3 linked regions of the Caenorhabditis elegans genome follow. The protein of the gene in region 1 purifies or fractionates together with the protein of each later gene. This does not show direct contact. Each region holds a gene or a part of one and is shown in the gene's direction. Other genes may lie near its edges.

What was found. The genes of interacting proteins can lie anywhere in the genome.
Region 2: the proteins of F54E12.2 (region 1) and top-1 fractionate together in Caenorhabditis elegans (co-fractionation; one large-scale study listed by BioGRID). This does not show direct contact.
Region 3: the proteins of F54E12.2 (region 1) and ant-1.2 fractionate together in Caenorhabditis elegans (co-fractionation; one large-scale study listed by BioGRID). This does not show direct contact.

The regions. Positions count from the first base shown.
Region 1 is NC_003282.8:11,331,912-11,338,920, reverse strand, and holds F54E12.2 (Transcription termination factor 2), read left to right. Parts: upstream 1-2,056; 5' UTR 2,057-2,057; coding exon 2,058-2,126; intron 2,127-2,169; coding exon 2,170-2,721; intron 2,722-2,771; coding exon 2,772-3,496; intron 3,497-3,552; coding exon 3,553-4,554; intron 4,555-4,604; coding exon 4,605-4,717; intron 4,718-4,762; coding exon 4,763-5,108; intron 5,109-5,155; coding exon 5,156-5,467; intron 5,468-5,522; coding exon 5,523-5,679; 3' UTR 5,680-5,841; downstream 5,842-7,009. Other genes in the region: his-56 (Histone H4), read right to left, coding at 88-399; his-55 (Histone H3), read left to right, coding at 658-1,068; sart-3 (Spliceosome associated factor 3, U4/U6 recycling protein), read left to right, coding at 6,050-6,133, 6,184-6,332, 6,383-6,551, 6,593-6,689, 6,734-7,009.
Region 2 is NC_003279.8:13,290,516-13,298,822, forward strand, and holds top-1 (DNA topoisomerase 1), read left to right. Parts: upstream 1-1,996; 5' UTR 1,997-2,110; coding exon 2,111-2,509; intron 2,510-3,013; coding exon 3,014-3,229; intron 3,230-3,719; coding exon 3,720-5,201; intron 5,202-5,250; coding exon 5,251-5,493; intron 5,494-6,271; coding exon 6,272-6,352; 3' UTR 6,353-7,040; downstream 7,041-8,307. Other genes in the region: Protein sepa-1, read right to left, coding at 7,786-7,841, 8,007-8,307. UniProt on the Caenorhabditis elegans protein: Releases the supercoiling and torsional tension of DNA introduced during the DNA replication and transcription by transiently cleaving and rejoining one strand of the DNA duplex.
Region 3 is NC_003279.8:6,728,790-6,733,295, reverse strand, and holds ant-1.2 (ADP/ATP translocase), read left to right. Parts: upstream 1-2,336; coding exon 2,337-3,239; downstream 3,240-4,506. Other genes in the region: lbp-5 (Fatty acid-binding protein homolog 5), read left to right, coding at 1,027-1,236, 1,766-1,966; lbp-6 (Fatty acid-binding protein homolog 6), read left to right, coding at 3,930-4,136.

The DNA.
Region 1 (7,009 bases):
GATCAATTAGGATTTTGGATATTTGTGGCCCTAAAGAGGGCCGTTGGGTTCGGTATTTGGTTTGTATGAAAACAGAAAAGATAATAATTATCCTCCGAATCCGTACAGAGTTCTTCCTTGGCGCTTCAGAGCGTAGACGACGTCCATGGCGGTGACGGTCTTTCTCTTGGCGTGCTCGCAGTAGGTGACAGCATCACGGATGACGTTCTCAAGGAACACCTTCAAGACTCCACGGGTTTCCTCGTAGATCAATCCGGAGATTCTCTTGACTCCTCCTCTTCTGGCGAGACGGCGAATGGCTGGCTTGGTGATACCTTGGATGTTATCACGGAGAACTTTGCGATGGCGCTTGGCACCACCTTTTCCAAGGCCTTTTCCTCCCTTTCCACGTCCGGACATTGTTGAATTCGTTGAAGACTCACAAGTGAGATGAAGAAATGACATCACAGTATTCCTTTTGTACACAGCTGTGGTGGCTAGGCGGAGTCACATTGCACCACTCTGCGAGGACACCTTTCCTTTGTCTGTAACACACCGAATGTTCTAATTGCCACAAGGACAGAAGTGCGCCCGCCCGCCCTCCCACCGCAGCTGCGTACAAAGTCAGTCGTTGGTTTCTCTTTTTTACAGTCCCCACGGATTATCAACCTAAACGCAATGGCTCGTACCAAGCAAACCGCCCGTAAATCGACCGGAGGAAAGGCTCCAAGAAAGCAATTGGCCACCAAAGCTGCCCGCAAATCGGCTCCAGCTTCCGGAGGAGTCAAGAAACCACATCGTTATCGCCCAGGAACCGTCGCTCTTCGTGAGATCAGACGTTACCAGAAATCAACCGAACTTCTAATCCGCAGAGCACCATTCCAGCGCCTTGTTCGTGAGATTGCTCAGGATTTCAAGACCGATCTTCGATTCCAATCTTCCGCTGTCATGGCTCTTCAGGAGGCTGCCGAGGCTTACCTTGTCGGACTCTTCGAGGACACCAACTTGTGTGCCATCCACGCTAAGCGAGTCACCATCATGCCAAAGGATATCCAATTGGCCAGACGCATCCGAGGAGAGCGCGCTTAAATACCTTTTTTGGTAGTTGAGCAAGCTTAATCTCAAAACTTAACCGAACCCAACGGCCCTCTTTAGGGCCACAAATGCATAAATCCAGTCCTTGTGTAAAATAAAATTGTTTTCTTTATTTGTTTTTTGTATCATTTTGAAGGCCCGGAGAACCGAACTACAAATTCGTCAGAAGTTCGCAGATTTATAAAAAAGGTTTCGGCCCAATACTTATTTGTTTTAATGCGCCTCTATACATTAGTATTATGAAATTAGTATTACATTAGTATTATGAATTTATTATTGAAATAGTATTATGAAATTTATGAAAGGCACATTCAGGATCCATAAACTGAGGTGTCGCTGCTTGAAAATCGTATCTGATGTACTGAAAGTTGCAGGATTCAGATACGAAACCTGTTCAATCACAATTTGGGAAATAACTCGAGCCCAAAGTATGAATTAAAATTGATGATCTGATAAAAACTTCCGTATTATTTTCATTCAGCGTAAAATTGCGATTTAATATTAATTATTTATTTATTTAATTTAAATTAAAAATAAAATGTTCCAGTGAAAAACATGTAGGAACATTATGCTATTGGAGTCGGAGGTCTCGCAACGATTACAGTACCACGTTTGTTATTCACGGCGCGCGCGCGCGAAAAAATTATTTGTCTCTCTCTCGTGCTCTTGCTTGAAACGCTCTTGTATTTTTCTATTTTCAAACAAATTCTTGATCAAAATTAGTTCAAACATGGTAAATTTGAATGTTTATTTTAATTATTAACGCATCTGCGATACCGTTTTCTGTTTTGAAACAAATATCTTCATTTTATGTGGCAGAAAATGTTAGTTTTCCTCGGCCATTTGTGTTCCAATTTCACCGCCATTTTCAAACGTTGAGTTCTGAGTACATATTCTTTTCAAAGTTGGACTAAATTCGTGACCGTTTGTTTCTTTACTAGATATATATTGTAAAAGTAATTTTAATTCTGATTTCTTTCAGGATGAGTTCGCCACGTCGAACAAGAATAATGTTTGATACATCTTCAGACGATTCTCAATCAGATGAGAAAGTGGGTTTTTATTTTTAAAACGTTAACTGAGGACTAATTTCAGATCGATGACTTCATCTGCCGATCCAGTCCTCAACGCCAGTCAAAAGAAAGTGACGACCAGGAAGATTCAGTTGTCGATGAGTCGATGAAATCTGTAAATTCGCCTATTGTCAATACACCATCTTCAACAGCATCGCATTGCACAAATAGCTTCGCCACTTCGACGCCAAAATCCAAATCGAATGCTTCAACGAGACTCGGTTCTTCATATGGAAGTTCCAGAAGCTCCTCGCAAAACCACGAGAGCCATGATCGCAGTCGGAGTTTTGTACAATATGACGAGAACAAGCCACTGACTCCAATCAGCAAAAAACTGGCGGAATCCACTGATCTGCGATCAAAAGCTCAGCTTCGTGAACGTCTCCTCCGCAAATCATTGAAGCAAAATGCCGAGGATAGTTCGCCAACGAGAGCTGCATCTGGAGGTGGATGGGGATCGTCTGCTGACGTCAAGAAATCACCAGAAGTTTCCACTGGACTTTTTGAAACAGCTCTTTCTCCTATTGCTAAAAGTGATCGCCGTTCATCAGAATATAACTCGAGCACATTTTTGGTAGTGTTTGAATTCAATTTCATATTGGCGATTAATATAATAAATTTCAGAATGTCCAGAAAGTAGCTACTTCCACGGCAATAAACGATATTGGCGGAAGAGAAGAAATAGTTGATGAATCATTTCCTGCACCTCGAACAACGGCTAAACAAGATGATAGTGACATTATCGAAGTGACTCCAGAGAAAGTTGTTTCGAATGAAAAACGGAAATCAGGGATTGCCATTAACTTGGATGATAGCGACATTATTGATGTAACACCAGTAAAAACAACTTCATCGAGACCACCAGAGCCACAACGTCCACGACTGCCAACTTCGCCAATTAACTCGGAGTACGCGAAGCTTTCCTACAAAGAGCTTTTGGCGAAAAAGAATAAAGTTATGGGATTAATTTCGTTATCATTAGATCTACCTGATGGTGGCAGACGGGTAATTAAACAATTTCAAGAGCTTGATGATGAAGTGGAGAGAAGAAAAGAAATGGGACTTGCTGAAGAGATCGTCGACGATGATGAGGATGATGAAATCTTCGTGATTGAAGATGATGAACCGAGTCATCGACAGGTGGCTCCAAAGTTCCCTTCCGGATCTGTCATGACTCAAAATGGTTTGTTGCCAAAAAGACATATCGTGGATCCTCTCAAAGCTCCTCAGCCAGACTTCAATGCCATGTTGGAGAAGGACAACAAGAAAATGATGTCTGGAAAGATGACCGATGAAAAATACAAACGCATACAACTCGTTTCTGATCGAGTAGTTCGACAACTTGCTGAGTAAGTCTTGTTTAACTTTTTCTCGAAGCTGTGTGAAAATGTGTATCCTCTTTCAGGGCCACTCACACAATCCCCGATGAAACTGAGCTCACGGACACTCCGAAAGGATTCAAACTTGAACTGATGCCACATCAAAAGGCAGGCCTAACCTGGATGCGTTGGAGAGAAACTCAACCACAGCCTGGTGGAATTCTTGCGGATGATATGGGTTTAGGAAAGACGCTTTCGATGATTTCTCTCATCGCCCATCAAAAAGCTGCTCGTAGAGCTCGCAGAGAAGATGGAAATGACGATAAAGACAAAGAAAAACGTAAAGTGGTAAAAGAGCAAGGACTAATTCCGTCGAATGGAACATTGATTGTTGCTCCTGCAAGTTTGATTCATCAATGGGATGCTGAAATCGATAGAAGACTAGATGACAGCGTTCTATCGACATACATGTTTCATGGCACAAAAAAGCAGAGGGACATCGATGCAAGACGTCTTGCTCGATACGATGTCGTCATCACCACGTTCAATCTTATCGCAAATGAATTAATCGAAAAAATAAGGACTAAATCAAAAGCAGATGATTCATCTGACGGTGAATCGGATTCAAATCATACTGGAATTCGTAGAGCAGTTGGAAAAGACGACTCCGTTCTTGCTCAGATCTGTTGGTCTCGAGTCATTCTTGACGAGGCGCATACCATCAAAAATCGGCAGTCTCTTGCTTCGAAAGCTGTCTGTCGTTTATCAGCATTCTCTCGATGGTGCCTTTCTGGAACTCCGATCCATAACAATCTCTGGGATCTTTACAGTCTCGTTCGATTCTTGCGTATTCGTCCATTCAGTGACGATAAATATTGGAAAGAATCGATCATGCCAATGAAACCAATAATGGCTGATCGCGTAAATTTGCTCACAAAGAACCTGCTTCTTCGTCGTACAAAGGATCAAACATGTGCTGTGACAAACCAGAAACTAGTTCAGTTACCACCGAAAAATGTAGAAGTCCACGAATTGGAGTTGGACGGAGATGAAGCACAGGCTTATGAGATTATGATGGAGGCTGCCAAGTGAGTGACTCACTTGTAACATTGGCGAAAATCATAAAACAAATTTTCAGAAAATTCGTCAAAAAACTTCTGCAAGATTCCAATGATATGAAAAATCATGGATTTATTCCTCGTCGCAATAGAAGAGCAGGAAAGGAAGGAGAAGTTCAGAATCCTTTCAATTGTAAGAATCTGTGATGTTTAAAAAATTAATATTGAATATTTTCAGTTGGTCCACGTGATTTGGCAGCCGGCTCGAACTTCGAAAAGATGTCATGTGTTTTGATGCTTCTTCTTCGTCTTCGACAAGCTTGTGTTCATTTCAATATCACAAAAACAGGAGTCGACATGGACGCTTTCAGCTTAATCGGTGGAGACAATGCGGAGGAAGCGAATGTGGACGATTTGAATGAGTTACTGGAGAAAACTATGAACATGACGTTGGGAAATGGTGACAATGAAGAAAGAGACAAACCGAGGGCTACAACACGAATTTTCGATCCGGACTACCTGAGCTGTAAAATTAAAAATACACTTGAAATTGTTGAGAACATTATGGAGAAGAAAGAGAAAGTGTATGTTTTCACCAAGTTGAAAATAAATTCAAATTTATGTTTTTCAGTGTCATTGTTTCTCAATGGACATCGGTTCTCAATTTGATCGAAATTCACATAAAATCAAGTGGTTTCAAATATACATCAATTACCGGACAAGTTCTGGTCAAGGATCGTCAAGAGAGAGTGGACAGCTTTAATCGGGAGAAAGGTGGTGCTCGAGTTATGCTTCTCTCTCTGGCCGCGGGAGGTGTTGGGCTCAATCTGACAGGTGGAAATCATTTAGTGATGGTGGATTTGCATTGGAATCCGGCTCTCGAACAGCAAGCTTTCGATAGAATTTATCGAATGGGGCAGAAGAAGGATGTTTTCATTCATAGGTTCGTTGATTGCGGCAAGAAAATTAAATTCATAATATGTGTGTTAATCTTGCAGATTGGTTACGAAAGGAACGATCGAACAACGAGTTGTAATGCTGCAAAAGGACAAAGTCGCGCTAGCTTCGTCTGTTCTCGACGGAAATGCTACTCGCAAGATGAACAAATTGACGACGGCAGATATCAAGATGCTGTTCGGATTGAATGAAAAATAATCTTCAAAACTATTATTCCAGCCTTTATGTACAATATTATCATTCCTCACCCGCACACATTTCATTTCTGTTGTAAATATTCATTCAGCTTATGGATTGCAAAATTTTATTTATTGCATAAGTATTACCCGTGATTATTTCTATAAAGCTTGCATGGATTTGAATTTTTTGTTGTTTTTTTATCAGTTTGATTCTGGCTAACTATATTTTAATACGGAGAGAAAATATTTTTTCTTCTAAAAAATCCGTTTCTTTCGCGCTCTATCGCACTTTTGCATTCGAAACGTTATTTCCGTGCTTTTTCTGCACTGTTTCTCTCTTATTTTAATATTTATTGTTTTTGTATCAGTTTCCATCAAAATTCTGCAAGATGTCCGATGTGGATATGGAATCCGGCTCGGATGATTCCGGAATGGAGGATCTGGATGAAGAAATTCAAAAAATCAAGCAAAAGGTATGAACTAATTATCGAATATACTTCATATACACAAAATACAATTTCAGATGATCGACGATAGTCAAAGTGTCGTTCTTGCAAACCAATTATTGATTTTATTGCGAAAAAATGGTGACTTCGACGAGCTTGATATCAAAAGGAGGCAATTTGTCGAATGGGCCCCACTTAATCCATTAAATTGGAAAAACTGGATTGAGTAAGTTAAAAAAAATAGGTTAATTATAATTTTTTAAAAACTGATTTCAGAGATTTTCAAAACAGAAAACCGGAGCCAAGTGTCGCAGAAGTCGAGGAAATGTTTGAAAAAGCTCTGTTTGATGAGAACGATGTCACTATTTGGGTCGAAAGAGCAATGTACGCATATAAGGTTGCGAACGACAAAAACAAAAAAGAGGATTTCAAGTTTTGCCGAGATGTAAGTTTTGATTGAAAAATGTAATTATTATAATTTTACAGGTTTGTAGCAAAGCTCTTGAAAACCTTGGAACTCGGTACGATTCTGGAGGGCACATTTGGCTGATTTTTCTGGAATATGAAATGAGCTACCTGAAAAGTGAGCTTACTACTGTACTTTCATCAACAATTTATAATTTTCAGATTCTATGAATGCTCCTGACTATCAACGACTCGCTGATCAAGTTTTCGCTCTGTTCGAGAGAGCCCTTCATTGCCCAACAGATCAGCTCGAAGATGTTTATGTTTTAGCTGAACAATTCTGCACAGAATTCAAACAACATCATAAACTCGAAGAACTGAAAAAGACATATAATTCAACAATGCGACAGAAGGAACAATTGTCAAAGTTCGAGGAGCTCATTCAACAGGAAGAAACCAAAAAGCAAGGTCTGAAACAGTTTTTTGATCACGAGAAGA
Region 2 (8,307 bases), on another chromosome or scaffold:
TTCGCCACTGTACGAGTGTGTGTGTGCACTTGGGTCAAGATGACACAGCAAACAATTCAGACTAGACAGGTTCAAGTATTTTCGCTAATTTCATAAATACAGAGGCATACTTTTTAAACATTTTTTTTTCTGAAAAAAAAAACATATTTTTTGTGATTCTACCTCGAAAGAATTAAAATTGCGAATCCATGTGCTTTTTTTTGAATATTTTTCTTCGAATTTCGGGCATATACTAGTTTCTTCTGTGGATAAAAAAATTTTAAGGGGTTCACTGTGGTTTTCTCGTTCAAAAAATCGCCATTGCAGCTGCAAAACTCGAATCTCCGGCCTTGAACAGCAAAATTGAACCCTGCTCCCTCTTTTGATGAATCATTGAGCAATCAGAAGCCGTGTTGAATTAGAGATTCTAGCTTTTGCGTGGTCGTTTCCTCTCTCTCTTTCTCCCTCTGCTCAGATCTTAAATCAGCCCTCTTATGGCACAAGGAGCACATACATCATTCGCGGGCACCGGGCGCCAAAGTGACGCAGAGAAGCGAGAGATATGATGCCGCCCGTGAGAGAGAAGGGAGCAGGCGACGGAAAGTGCACACCGGGTGTAAATAGTGCAGATGACCTTCGTGCTAGGAGGATGGATTCAGTAGATGGAAGAAAGTTGGATGAGTATTTTTTGAGGGACTTTGAGAATTATTGATTTGAAAAATGATGATTTAGTTGGTGTCAAAAGTCAATTTTTAATATTAGGAGATGTTATTTTCTGGCCTCGGTTTTCGTAGATTTGACGAATCTGAAATGTTCCGAGTTTTACGAATATAACCCTTCAGTTTGCTGGAATTTCTGTCTCAAAATGCCCCCAAAGTATCAAATTTAAATGAATATTTGAGAAAAAAGGCTATGTGTAGTTGAAATTTTCAAAATTTATCAATTTGCCCGTGTCGGAGCGACTTAATTCGTATGTATTTTTTGAGATTTCTAGAACTTTTTGGATTTTTTCGATAGTTTTTTTGCTGATGTAGGTATATTTTCTGTTTATAAGCTCCAAGTTTCTACAGATTTTGCTGCTGAAATAGGACCAAAATTAAAAAGAACCGATATTCATAAACATTATGTTGGTGTTTTGACTCTAAATCGAGAAAAAAAACTATTTTACCTTTTTTTTCCCTCGAAATCCTGCAATTTCTGCGTATTTTCTCCAATTCTTCAATCATGTTCATTTGTTTTCCACTATTACTTTACAATCCTTCGCCTCTCTTATTATATCGCATCCACTACTTTAACCATACAACAACTAGTTTTACACACTCTTATTCATAATGTCCTCCATCATCGTTCTCACTGGCGGGTCCTACCACGAAAGTTTCACCACACAAAAGTCGATTCTAAAAGACTTGGTGAAATTTCGTGGTGGGACCCGCCGCGGCGTGCGTAAGGTCGTCGTTCCGTTGGCCATTAATATAGCAACTGTGAGCGATAAAAATCTAAAGTTTTATTTATTTTGCTAATTTGTCAAGATTAGAATCTTGAGCTAAGTGAATCAATTTTCTCGGCGAAGTCGATTTTTGAAAAATATATCCGAAAAGGTTCAAATTAAGCCTGAAAAAGTAGATTTTATTACGAGGCAGCTTGAAAATTTCTGAAAATATATATTAAGATCTGAAAAATCGCAAAATTTACGAAAAAAATTAGCAAAAAAATCATGAATTTTAACAAATCGTGAAAAACTTTAACAAAATCGATGAAAATTCCACAATCAACGAGAGTTTTAAATTACAGTACTCTTTAAATGCGCAATTTGTCGGATCCGGGCGCCGTATTTTTTGGCGCAAAATTTAACTTCTATGTAGTAATAAAATTAAAATAATTTTCCAATCGTAACAAGCTCAAGTTTAAGCTAAATTGAATCAATTTTTGAGATATTTTCTTACTATATGTCTCTCTTACCTCTAAATACTCTTTCCTTTTCACAATTTCTTTCAAAATTCCTCATTTAAATGTTTGCAGAGTATCATCTCTCCGACACTCACACACTCCATCTATTTGATTCGACAGCTTCTACGAAGATATCTTATCAATCAAAAGAGCTCTCGTGGATCATCAGAAACTTGCTCAAACGATGAGTGTAGTGTCGAATCATCACTCGAACGGAAACGGCAACTCAACAGTCTACGATACGAACGGAAACGATGAAATCAAAAAAGAGGTGAAAGATGAGCCAATGGCATCAGACAGTGAAGTTCCATTCGGTGAACTGATGAAAAGAGATAAAAAAGAAAAGAAACAAAAGAAGAGGAAAGCTGAAAGTGGATCAGATGAGGATGATTATAAGCCCGAGAAGAGAAAGTCTTCGGCGAAAAATGGGAAAAAGAAGGATGTTGGAAGTGATTCTGAGGATGATTATAAGCCTGAAAAGAAGAAAAGCAAGAAAAATAATAAGAAAAAAGCTCAGGAGAGTAGTGAGGATGATGATGAAGAATCAGAAGGAGATGTTAGTGAAGAGGATGTTAAGCCACAGGTTTGTAGCAATTAATAACATTTTTTCCTCCAAAATAACCTATTTGCACGGGTTTTTGGCGATGAAAATTCACTTTTTTTTTGCTAAATTTCATCCAAATTATGTTTTTCAACACAAAATTTGGTTTTAAAGTTGCTCCACGAAAAAAAATTAGCTAGTTCCCATTTTCTTTGTTGCAGAGAGAATTATTCGCTTTATAAGATTATGTGAACTCAAAACAGTTGAAAAATGCAAGAAATACGTAAAATTCTGCTATTTTTACATTAAAATTGCTGAAATTTAGGTATTTTCTCGCAATTTTGAATTGTTTGGATGTACATATTCCTTGTGAAACCGATGTGAGCAAGAACCAGCATTTCTACAAGATTTTCAATTAGATAGTAATAATATGTGTTAATAAGCATATTTTAGATGGAATTTAGCGAAAAATAACCCTTCTAACCCTACTTTTCTGCACGTCCTTAACATTTCCTTTGTTTCGTTAGTTTTTTTCTGCTTTTTTAGATCCATTCCGACGATGAACTAGAAGAAGAAGACGAAGCTCCGACGACAGATGATGAAGAGGAACAGAAGAGAAAGGAGAAAGAGCGTAGAAAAAAGGAAAAAAGGGAGAAAAAAGAGCGAAAAGAGAAGAAACGACTGGAGAAGGAGAATCGGAAGATTAAGGAAGAGGACGACGAGGATTCGGATGATGAAGATGATGAAAAGGCGAAGAAAAAGGTGTTGTTGATGTGGATTTTCCTGATTTTGCATGCTTTTTCCCGCTTTTTTTTGCACAAAAAACTAATTTGCAAGCTAAAAATGGTGTCGGTTTACGCAGAAATTGTGTACTACACGAGGAAAAGTGTGAATTTAAATTTATTTAGTTTTTTAGCTGAAGTTCTCGGATATTTAGACTTTATGCCAAATTCTTCTGAAAAATTGGGTGTTTAATCATTTTTAGGCTAAAAATCGGAAATTTTACGATTTTTTGCTCAAAAAATTGAACACGATGCCTGCGTAAATCGACATTACATGCTGCTCCGGAAATTTTAATGTAATCGAAAAAATTAAAAGTTAATCCAAAAAAAACCACTTCCGTCTAACCTGAATTACCCACCAGTAATATATTTTCTCAAAAAAAAAATCAAAAACTGTTTTCTAACCTTCTACGAGATACTTTAAATAATTAAATTTGCACGAATCATAATTTTATCATTTATTTTTGCAGAAACGAAAGTCAAAAGGAGCTGAAAAGAGCAAGCCAAGTACATCAAAGAAAGACGCCGGCGGCAAAAAAGAGCCACCAAAGAAGAAAGTGAAGAAAGAGGAGGATATAGAAGATATATGGGAATGGTGGAAAGAGGAAAAGAAGCCTGCAGGTGTTAAATGGAATTCCCTTCAACACTGTGGACCACTATTCGCTCCACCATACATTCCACTTCCATCTCATGTTCATTTCAAATATGGTGGAGAGAAGATGAAGCTGACTCTTGAAACGGAAGAAATTGCTCAATTTTATGCTGGTGTACTGGATCACGAGTATTCGACAAAAGAGGCTTTCAACAAGAATTTTATGAAAGATTGGAGAAAAGTGATGACTGTCGAGGAACGTGAACGTATACATGATCTGAAAAAGTGCGATTTTCGAGCTATCGATGCTTATCAAAAAGAGCAACGGGAAATTCGCAAAGCGATGACTAAAGAGGAAAAGTTGAAGATTAAAGAGGAGAAGGAAGCGGAAGTGAAGATTTATGGAATTGCAATAATTGATGGTCATCGGCAAAAGGTTGCAAATTTCCGAATTGAACCTCCAGGAGTGTTCCGTGGAAGAGGTGGACATCCGAAGATGGGTCTTATCAAGAAGCGTATCATGCCAGAGGATGTCATCATAAATTGCGGAAAAGACACTGAAATTCCAAAACCACCACCTGGGCACAAATGGAAAGAAGTGAGACATGACAATACTGTTACGTGGCTGTGCTCTTGGACTGAAAGTGTGCTCGGACAGAATAAGTACATTATGCTTAATCCATCTTCAAAGATTAAAGGAGAAAAGGACTTTGAAAAGTACGAAACAGCGCGGCGACTTAAAAAGAAGATTGGTGGAATTCGTGAGCGGTATACTGACGATTTTAAGTCGAAGGAGATGAGAGTTCGACAACGTGCTACGGCTTTGTATTTTATTGATAAGTTGGCTCTTCGTGCTGGAAATGAGAAGGATGTAGATGAAGCTGCTGATACTGTTGGTTGTTGCTCACTTCGTGTTGAGCACATTAAGCTCTTCGATTCGGCGAAACTGAATGAAGATGATAAGAAGGAAAAGGAGTTTGTTGTGGAATTCGATTTTCTTGGAAAGGATTCGATTCGTTATTTCAATCGAGTTTCTGTTGAGAAGCGAGTCTACAAGAATTTGAAGATATTCATGGAGGGAAAAGCTCCGAGTGATGATCTTTTCGATCGTCTCGACACTGCAACACTCAATGATCATTTGAGAAGTTTGATGGATGGTTTGACGGTAAAAGTGTTCCGTACCTATAATGCTTCGATCACACTTCAAGAGCAACTGATAAAGCTGACGAATCCCAAGGACAATGTGGCGGCAAAAATTCTGTCATACAATCGTGCTAATCGGCAGGTTGCGATCCTTTGTAACCATCAACGTGCCGTTTCGAAGGGATTCGATGAGTCGATGCAAAAGTTGGAGCAAAAGGTTGCGAAAAAAATATGAAATTTATTCACTAATCTCGTTTTTTTTCCAGATCAAGGACAAAAAGAAGGAGGTGAAGGAAGCCGAAGCCGCGCTGAAGTCTGCTCGCGGAGCAGAAAAGGAGAAGGCCCAGAAGAAGTACGACAGACTGAAGGAGCAGTTGAAAAAGTTGAAAATCTCAAGAACTGATAAGGATGAGAACAAACAGATCGCGTTGGGTACTTCGAAACTCAATTATATTGATCCTCGGATCACTGTCGCCTGGTGCAAGAAGTTTGAGGTTCCGTTGGAGAAGGTGAGAGATAGTTTCGGAGAAATGAATTCACGGGGGAAAATGGACAAACTGTGTCGATTTACGCAGCTCGTGTACTCCACGAGGAAGAGTGTGGCTACACAGTTTTTGTCGAAAATACTTCGTTTTGGAACATAAATTAGGCATTGAAAACTGCAAAATTTATCCAAAAACTGAATGCACACTCTCCTCGTAGAGTATATGACCTCCGTAAATCGACACAATGTCGTGTTTTTGAAGAGATGCGGTATTTTGTGATTTTTTCGTCAAAAATACTGTCCAAACAGTACCATTTGTCGATTTACGCTGCTCGTGTACTCCTCGAGGAAAACCAATGATTTTTGGTGGATCAACATTCAAATCATCAGTTTATCAATTTTTATGACGTTTCTCTGAGAAAATCAATCATAAAAACGCCAAATTCCACCTGAAATTGAATAAATTCGATAAAAATGGAGATTTGAATGTGGAATGCAGAAATAATTGGCGAAAATTGTCTAAAATGAAGCATTGTTTTCCTCTAGGAGTACACGAGATTAATGAGGAGAAGCGCTCCTTAAAATATGCACAATTCCCTGTAGTACACAGTACTAAAACACTTTTTTCCGAAATTTTTTATCAAAAAACAGAAAAATGTTAAATTTTTCGGGAAAAAAAACCCGAAAGATCATATAAATGAGGAAAAATAAGAAGACAAATGGTCAAAATTCAAATTTTATTTTTCGATAAATTCAGAAAAACCGACACTCTAGATCCCCATTAAAATCGATTTTATTTCCAGGTCTTCACCAAAACTCACCGTGAGAAATTCCGTTGGGCCATCGACATGACAAACTCGTCGGATGAGGAATACGTCTTCTAGAAGTCAATTTAGTCGTTTTTTTTCTTTTTTCTGCACTTTTTTCCTTAATTTCTGATCCATTTTCTCTTTCTTTTTTTGTTTTTTCTCGGACTCTCGACTGTGATTGTTACACACACCTTTGTTAATCATTTCGTTTATTTTTTTTTTTTCTTTTTTTTTCTGAAAAATCTTTAACCTTCACCAACAAACCCAACAAAAAAAATCAAATTTTCTATTCCAATTATTCATCACTAATAATTTATTATTCCTCTTATTTCTCCATTTCAATCAAATATCTCTAAATATCTTGAAATTTCCAAGTTTCTATAGTTATTTGCTCTTCATGTCTAACGTTTTCTTTCTCCCCACTCTTCTAGTACATGTAATCCATTCTATCATCTCAAAAAAAAAGAATCCTAAGATTTTTTTAGAATTACCTTCTTATTTTGCTCCAATTGCTCTAAAATATCGTGTGTAGCCTCCTTTTGGGTATGTTCAGACTGGAAATTAGCTATTTTCAGCCTTAAAATGCCCCAATTTCGTCTTTTTTTCTTCATTACCCACATGATTAGTCCCAAGAATTCTCGTCCCTCTTTCTCTCGCTTTCTTGTTTTTTTCTGTTTTATTTAAAAATCGCATACACATCGACTGATTCAAGAATTTAATTTTGATTTCATGAAAATTATGATAATAAACGTTGCATTTTCAGAAATTGTTTTTTTTTTGGTTGCAGTTTTTGATTTCATAAGTGTGAGAGGGCGAAATGCTGACTTAAAATGCTGACATGACATAAATAAAAAAGTCTGAAATAAAAAACAAAAACGTAAGCCCAATGCGGGGCTCGAACCCGCGACAACCAGATTAAGAGTCTGGTGCTCTACCGACTGAGCTAACCGGGCGCCAATCTCACCCGCTGCAAAGGTTGTATAGAAGCAGACGCACGCAGTGTCAGTTTTATAGTCCCGTACGCGCGCCCACATTTTGTCGGTACACGCGTTAAGTGGCCTTCTCGTCATTTTCTATCAAATTTGGTTTTAACCCAGTTACCAAGGTAATTCGGAGTTTCGATCTTTCGAAAGAGAGTGTCGATTGTGAACAATTTTTGGAATAGCTCTTCCGGGGAATCCGGTCGGGCAATATTTTAAAAGGATTATTATTGTGAAGGTGATTCCGATCAGGGCTGGGATTATTTAAAAAACGAACATGAAAGTTTTTTTTTAAAAGATGAAAAACGAAAAAGTTAGTTTTGCAAATTTACAACTGGAATTACGATTTTTTAGTTACATGTTTCTTCAAGGTTTCATTGTTCCGAAAATGATTCGCCCAACGCCAAATTCGGGTGCAATTAAAAGAAAAATACTTATCAATTTAATATTTATTTGGGATAAAGCACGCATTCATTACAGGATATAAGCAAAAGCAAGAGATATAAAAGAAAATGAATGTGAACTGATTTAGTTTTTCTCGTGATTTTTGGCAAGTTCATCGGAGCTTTGTGTTGGTTGTTGGTCTGAAAATAAATATCGATATTTGAAGCATTAATCTTAAAATTCTTAAAATGGGAATAACAGGAGTTGAGACATTTTTGTCAGTTTAGGCTAGCCTTCAATTATTTCAAATTTTTTTAAAATTATTAAAAGCAAATTATCATATTAAAAAATTAATAGCAACTTACGGTTATGTTCAGTGGCTCGTTGGTCTTTTTTTAAAGTTTTCTTGAGAATCTGGTCAACTGTTAATTGCATCAAACGATAGTATTCATCTCGGTCATTCGATGCTTCCAAAATCTCCGTTTCACATTTTCTGGCATTGGCGATCAACTTTTTAAACAGTTCACCATTCATCTCTTCTACATTCTGGATTCTTGGCCAGAACGCTTTCAACAATTTTCCAACCATGTGATTTCGGATGTCTTCAACGATCCATTCCTTTGATGTGTTTGTCCCGAACAAGAAAGAACCATTGTACCCTTCAAA
Region 3 (4,506 bases), on another chromosome or scaffold:
CGAAATCGATACAAAATATCTACATACAAACTGTTTTTCTGGTGAATTCTACCTTACTCCACTCATCTTTCCAAATTTTCAGTGAATGTTATCATATTTCTAAAACTAGGTATGGGAAAACTGAAAATGTGCCCTGAAAAGCAGTGGTCCCCCAATATTTTTTTAAATTAATGTTGGTTTTCGCAACGTCATAGTTGTCAAATAAGTCGGTTTCAAAACTTGAACAAACATTTTCGATTGACTCACACATAAACGGACACAGTAAAGTCAGAGAAAAGTCACAATTTTGATTTTTTTTTGTTTTTTGTATAACAAATACTGTATAAACACTCAAATATTTAAAAGCTTCTTGCGAAAAATTCCCGCATTTATAGTAGATCAATCCGTTATGGTACATCTTGACATATAGTTCTGGAAAATATTTTTTTAATCGAAAACCTACATTGGCCATCGTTTAACCTTGTTGCCCGCCATCTCTTCCACGTTAAAAGTAGCGTTTTGGTGTTATGCTCAATTAAAAAAATGTCAAAAATTGTAAAAAAAAAAACGAGATCGCATTGTATCTACTTTTGAACGACACTATATGTCAAAAGTTTAAAAAGTACTATTAATCGTGATTCACCATGTACATACTACACTCCATCTTAGTGTATTCCATGTTATCAGTTCAAAACCGTCCAAAAATTGACCAACTTGTCCATCACCCAATACAACGTGGCAGCAGTTTCAGTACACTCCCCCTTGTGTCCTATTTACTATATATACGTTTTTCTGGTTTTCACTCATCTAAACCACTTTCTCCTGCTTTTTGTATTAATATTCCTTATTGCAATGCATTACATTTTTTATTTTTGTCATTAGAAACTATAAATTTAATAATACGAATCCAAAAGAATCATAGGCAATTTTCTAAAAGCAGAAATAAATCATCCAGAATTTCTTAATACTTATTCGTTTTTCATTTAATTCCCTTTATTATTATTCTGGTACTTCTTTATCAAAATTGTAAATTTCCAAATTTTCAGAATGTCTGCTGAACAATTTGTGGGTCGTTGGAAGCTTGTCGAATCCGAGAATTTCGAGGATTACCTGAAAGAAGTTGGGGTTGGTCTTCTTCTTCGTAAAGCCGCGTGTGCTGCAAAACCAACTTTAGAGATCAAAGTGAATGGAAACAAGTGGCATGTCAATCAACTTAGCACCTTCAAGAACACCACATTGGAGTTCACTCTGGGAGTGGTAAGTGAAATTTTGAAAAAAGGAAACGAGAATAGAACTCAACAACTATATGGCTTTTTCGTTAGTTATTTTCTTTCCCATTTAAAAACTTTCAAATGCCTTTCTCGAAACTCTAGCAAACACTGATAAGACTCAAACTAGTGGGTCAAAGTGCAGGAAGGTACACGTGGTTTTCAGTGTAAACAAAAAAATGAGAATAAAGAACAACTGAACTTTGTATCCATTTGAACACTACACACAACAAACGGGTGTTCTATTAACATAGATACACTTTGTGGCATGAAGAAATAATCTAATGTTTATGTCTTTCAGAATAGGTCTATGGAAAATTCAATTGCGAACTCTAAACGAACATTTGAAATCAAAAAAAGAATCATATTAAATCTAACAAAATATTTTTTTTTCGAATTAGTTACGATCTTTAAATGTGTCGGCTACATGAAAAACAACTCCCGGTTTTCATTCCATTAAAGTTCAGTTTTTAAATTGACTGTTATAATTTACCATTTAAAAAAATAGTGTTTTTTAGGAATTCGACGAGACAACACCAGACGGTCGTCAATTCAAGTCAACCATCACAATTGAAGATGGAAAAGTAGTTCATGTTCAAAAAAGGATTAAGGATTCAGATCATGATTCTGTAATCACTCGTTGGTTTGAAGGAGAAAAGCTCATCACAACTCTCCAATCTGGATCAGTTATCTCTCGTCGTGCCTATATTCGTGAATAGATTATTTTGAATATTGTTCTTGTTTTGTTCGGTCTTTGATGCAATAAATAGCGAAAAATAGTGTTTTTGTTTACGCAGAGTGACGTTTTAAAGGACCAGAAACCCTTTTCTTTTCTCTGTCTCTGTTAAAAAAGGCCTTGTTTATTTTCCGTAAAATTTTTCATTAGTTTCAACAATTTTTAAAGAAACACTTTTGTTTTAGATTTTTCTTTTTTTTTAAATTAATTTTATTCTTTATATTGATTAGACTTTCATGACCAAAATTTTGAGAAGAGTCTAGTGAGCTCCTTCCTACTCGCATTTGAAGAAAGTTTTATTATCAGCATTCAGGAAATATAATCTCTGAAAAAAAACATTCCAGAAGGACAAAATGACCACAAAGGAAGGATTTGATTATCGAAAGTTTCTTGTTGATCTCGCCTCCGGAGGCACTGCTGCAGCAATCTCAAAAACTGCCGTTGCTCCAATTGAACGTGTAAAGCTTCTACTTCAAGTCAGTGATGTCTCTGAAACAGTAACTGCCGATAAAAAATATAAAGGAATTATGGATGTTCTTGCTAGAGTGCCAAAAGAACAAGGATATGCAGCATTTTGGAGAGGAAACCTTGCAAATGTGCTTCGATATTTTCCAACGCAAGCGCTGAATTTTGCATTCAAAGACACTTATAAGAAGATGTTTCAAGAAGGAATTGACAAGAATAAAGAATTCTGGAAATTCTTTGCTGGAAATCTCGCTTCTGGTGGAGCAGCTGGTGCAACATCTCTATGCTTCGTGTACCCACTGGATTTTGTGCGTACTCGTCTTGGAGCCGATGTTGGAAAAGGAGTGGATAGAGAGTTTCAAGGTCTAACGGATTGTTTTGTGAAAATTGTGAAATCAGATGGACCAATTGGTCTTTATAGAGGATTTTTTGTTTCAGTACAAGGAATTATAATTTATCGTGCAGCATATTTCGGAATGTTTGATACTGCCAAAACATTGTACTCAACTGACGGGCAAAAACTCAATTTCTTTACGACATGGGCAATTGCTCAAGTTGGAACAGTTGGTTCTGGATATTTATCATATCCATGGGATACAGTACGTCGTCGAATGATGATGCAATCAGGGAGAAAGGATATTCTCTATAAAAACACTTTGGATTGTGTTAGAAAGATTGTGAAGAATGAAGGAATTACTGCATTATACAAAGGAGGTCTTTCAAATGTATTCCGAGCAACTGGAGGTGCTCTTGTGCTCACAATTTATGATGAGATTCAACATTTAATTTAATTACAGAATTAAAGTATGTATATGTTAATTTTGAAACAACATTGCCAATAAATTTTTTTGTTTAAAATGCATTTTTACTTTATTTTAAAAAAAAGAAGATTGTTTAAGTTTCACAATTTGAAAATGGGCTTCTATATATGTACAAGATACTAGTTTTTTACCTCAAAAAAAAATAAATTTAAAAAAAATTAAAACTTAGATATACTTTAATCAAAAACGATATTTTCCTCCTCAGAAATTTCAGAATTTTTTTGATAATATTTTTGTTTTTATTCGACTGAAAATTCCTCACTTTTCCTCTTTTCTATTTTTATTTTTCAAAAATGATGCAACGAATCAAAAAATGAATCATTCTTCAAAAAAAAACGAAACGAAAAATAGAGGAGACAGAAATAGAGAAAACGTTTTGAATCTCCGCCCACTCTTGCCCCCTATCATTCCATTTATCAGACCACCTAAATACGAATGATTTCCCAAGGCATTGCCATTCGTTTTCTTGTTGATTTGCAACTTTTCTTTTATTTCCATTTGCAAGTGATATGATAGTTCATCTTCTAAAATTAATTTTTAAAATAAGATTTTTTAACCATAATTTCAGACTAACGTTTTATTCAGACCTATTACATATCCGTTAATCTATTGAACTTTTTACCTGCTTTTCCAACTTCTTCTATTTACAGAACCATCACCATGTCTCAAGAATTCGTTGGACGCTGGAAGCTCATTCACTCAGAGAACTTCGAGGAGTACATGAAGGAGGTTGGAGTTGGATTGATCACTCGTAAGGCTGCTGCCAACTTGAAGCCAACTTTGGAAATCAAGGTCGAAGGAGATTTGTGGTATTCCAACCAATACTCCACATTCAAGAACACCACTCTTTCTTTCAAGTTGGGACAGGTAAGAAAGTGCAAAGTTTTTTACTTACAAAAGACAAAAATAATGTTATCAAAAAAAATGTGGGTTTTCTGATTCCAAATTTGCGACAAAAAAGTTACATAAAAATAAAGAAACGCACTACAAATTTATGAATAAAAATTGTTACTTCCATATTCACAGACAAAAAGTCTTAAAATTCCAGGTGATAACATTTCAAACCATAAATCATAAAATGATCATTGATTTCTTGTTATAAGACTTTGATAAACAATATGTATTTCCCATAGTTTTCGTGTTTTTTCATGCACGAATAATATTTTTTTAAAGCCATGAGAAACAATATCTGATTTCAAAATGCACGTTCGTTGATATCGGCAATTGTGGACAAAGT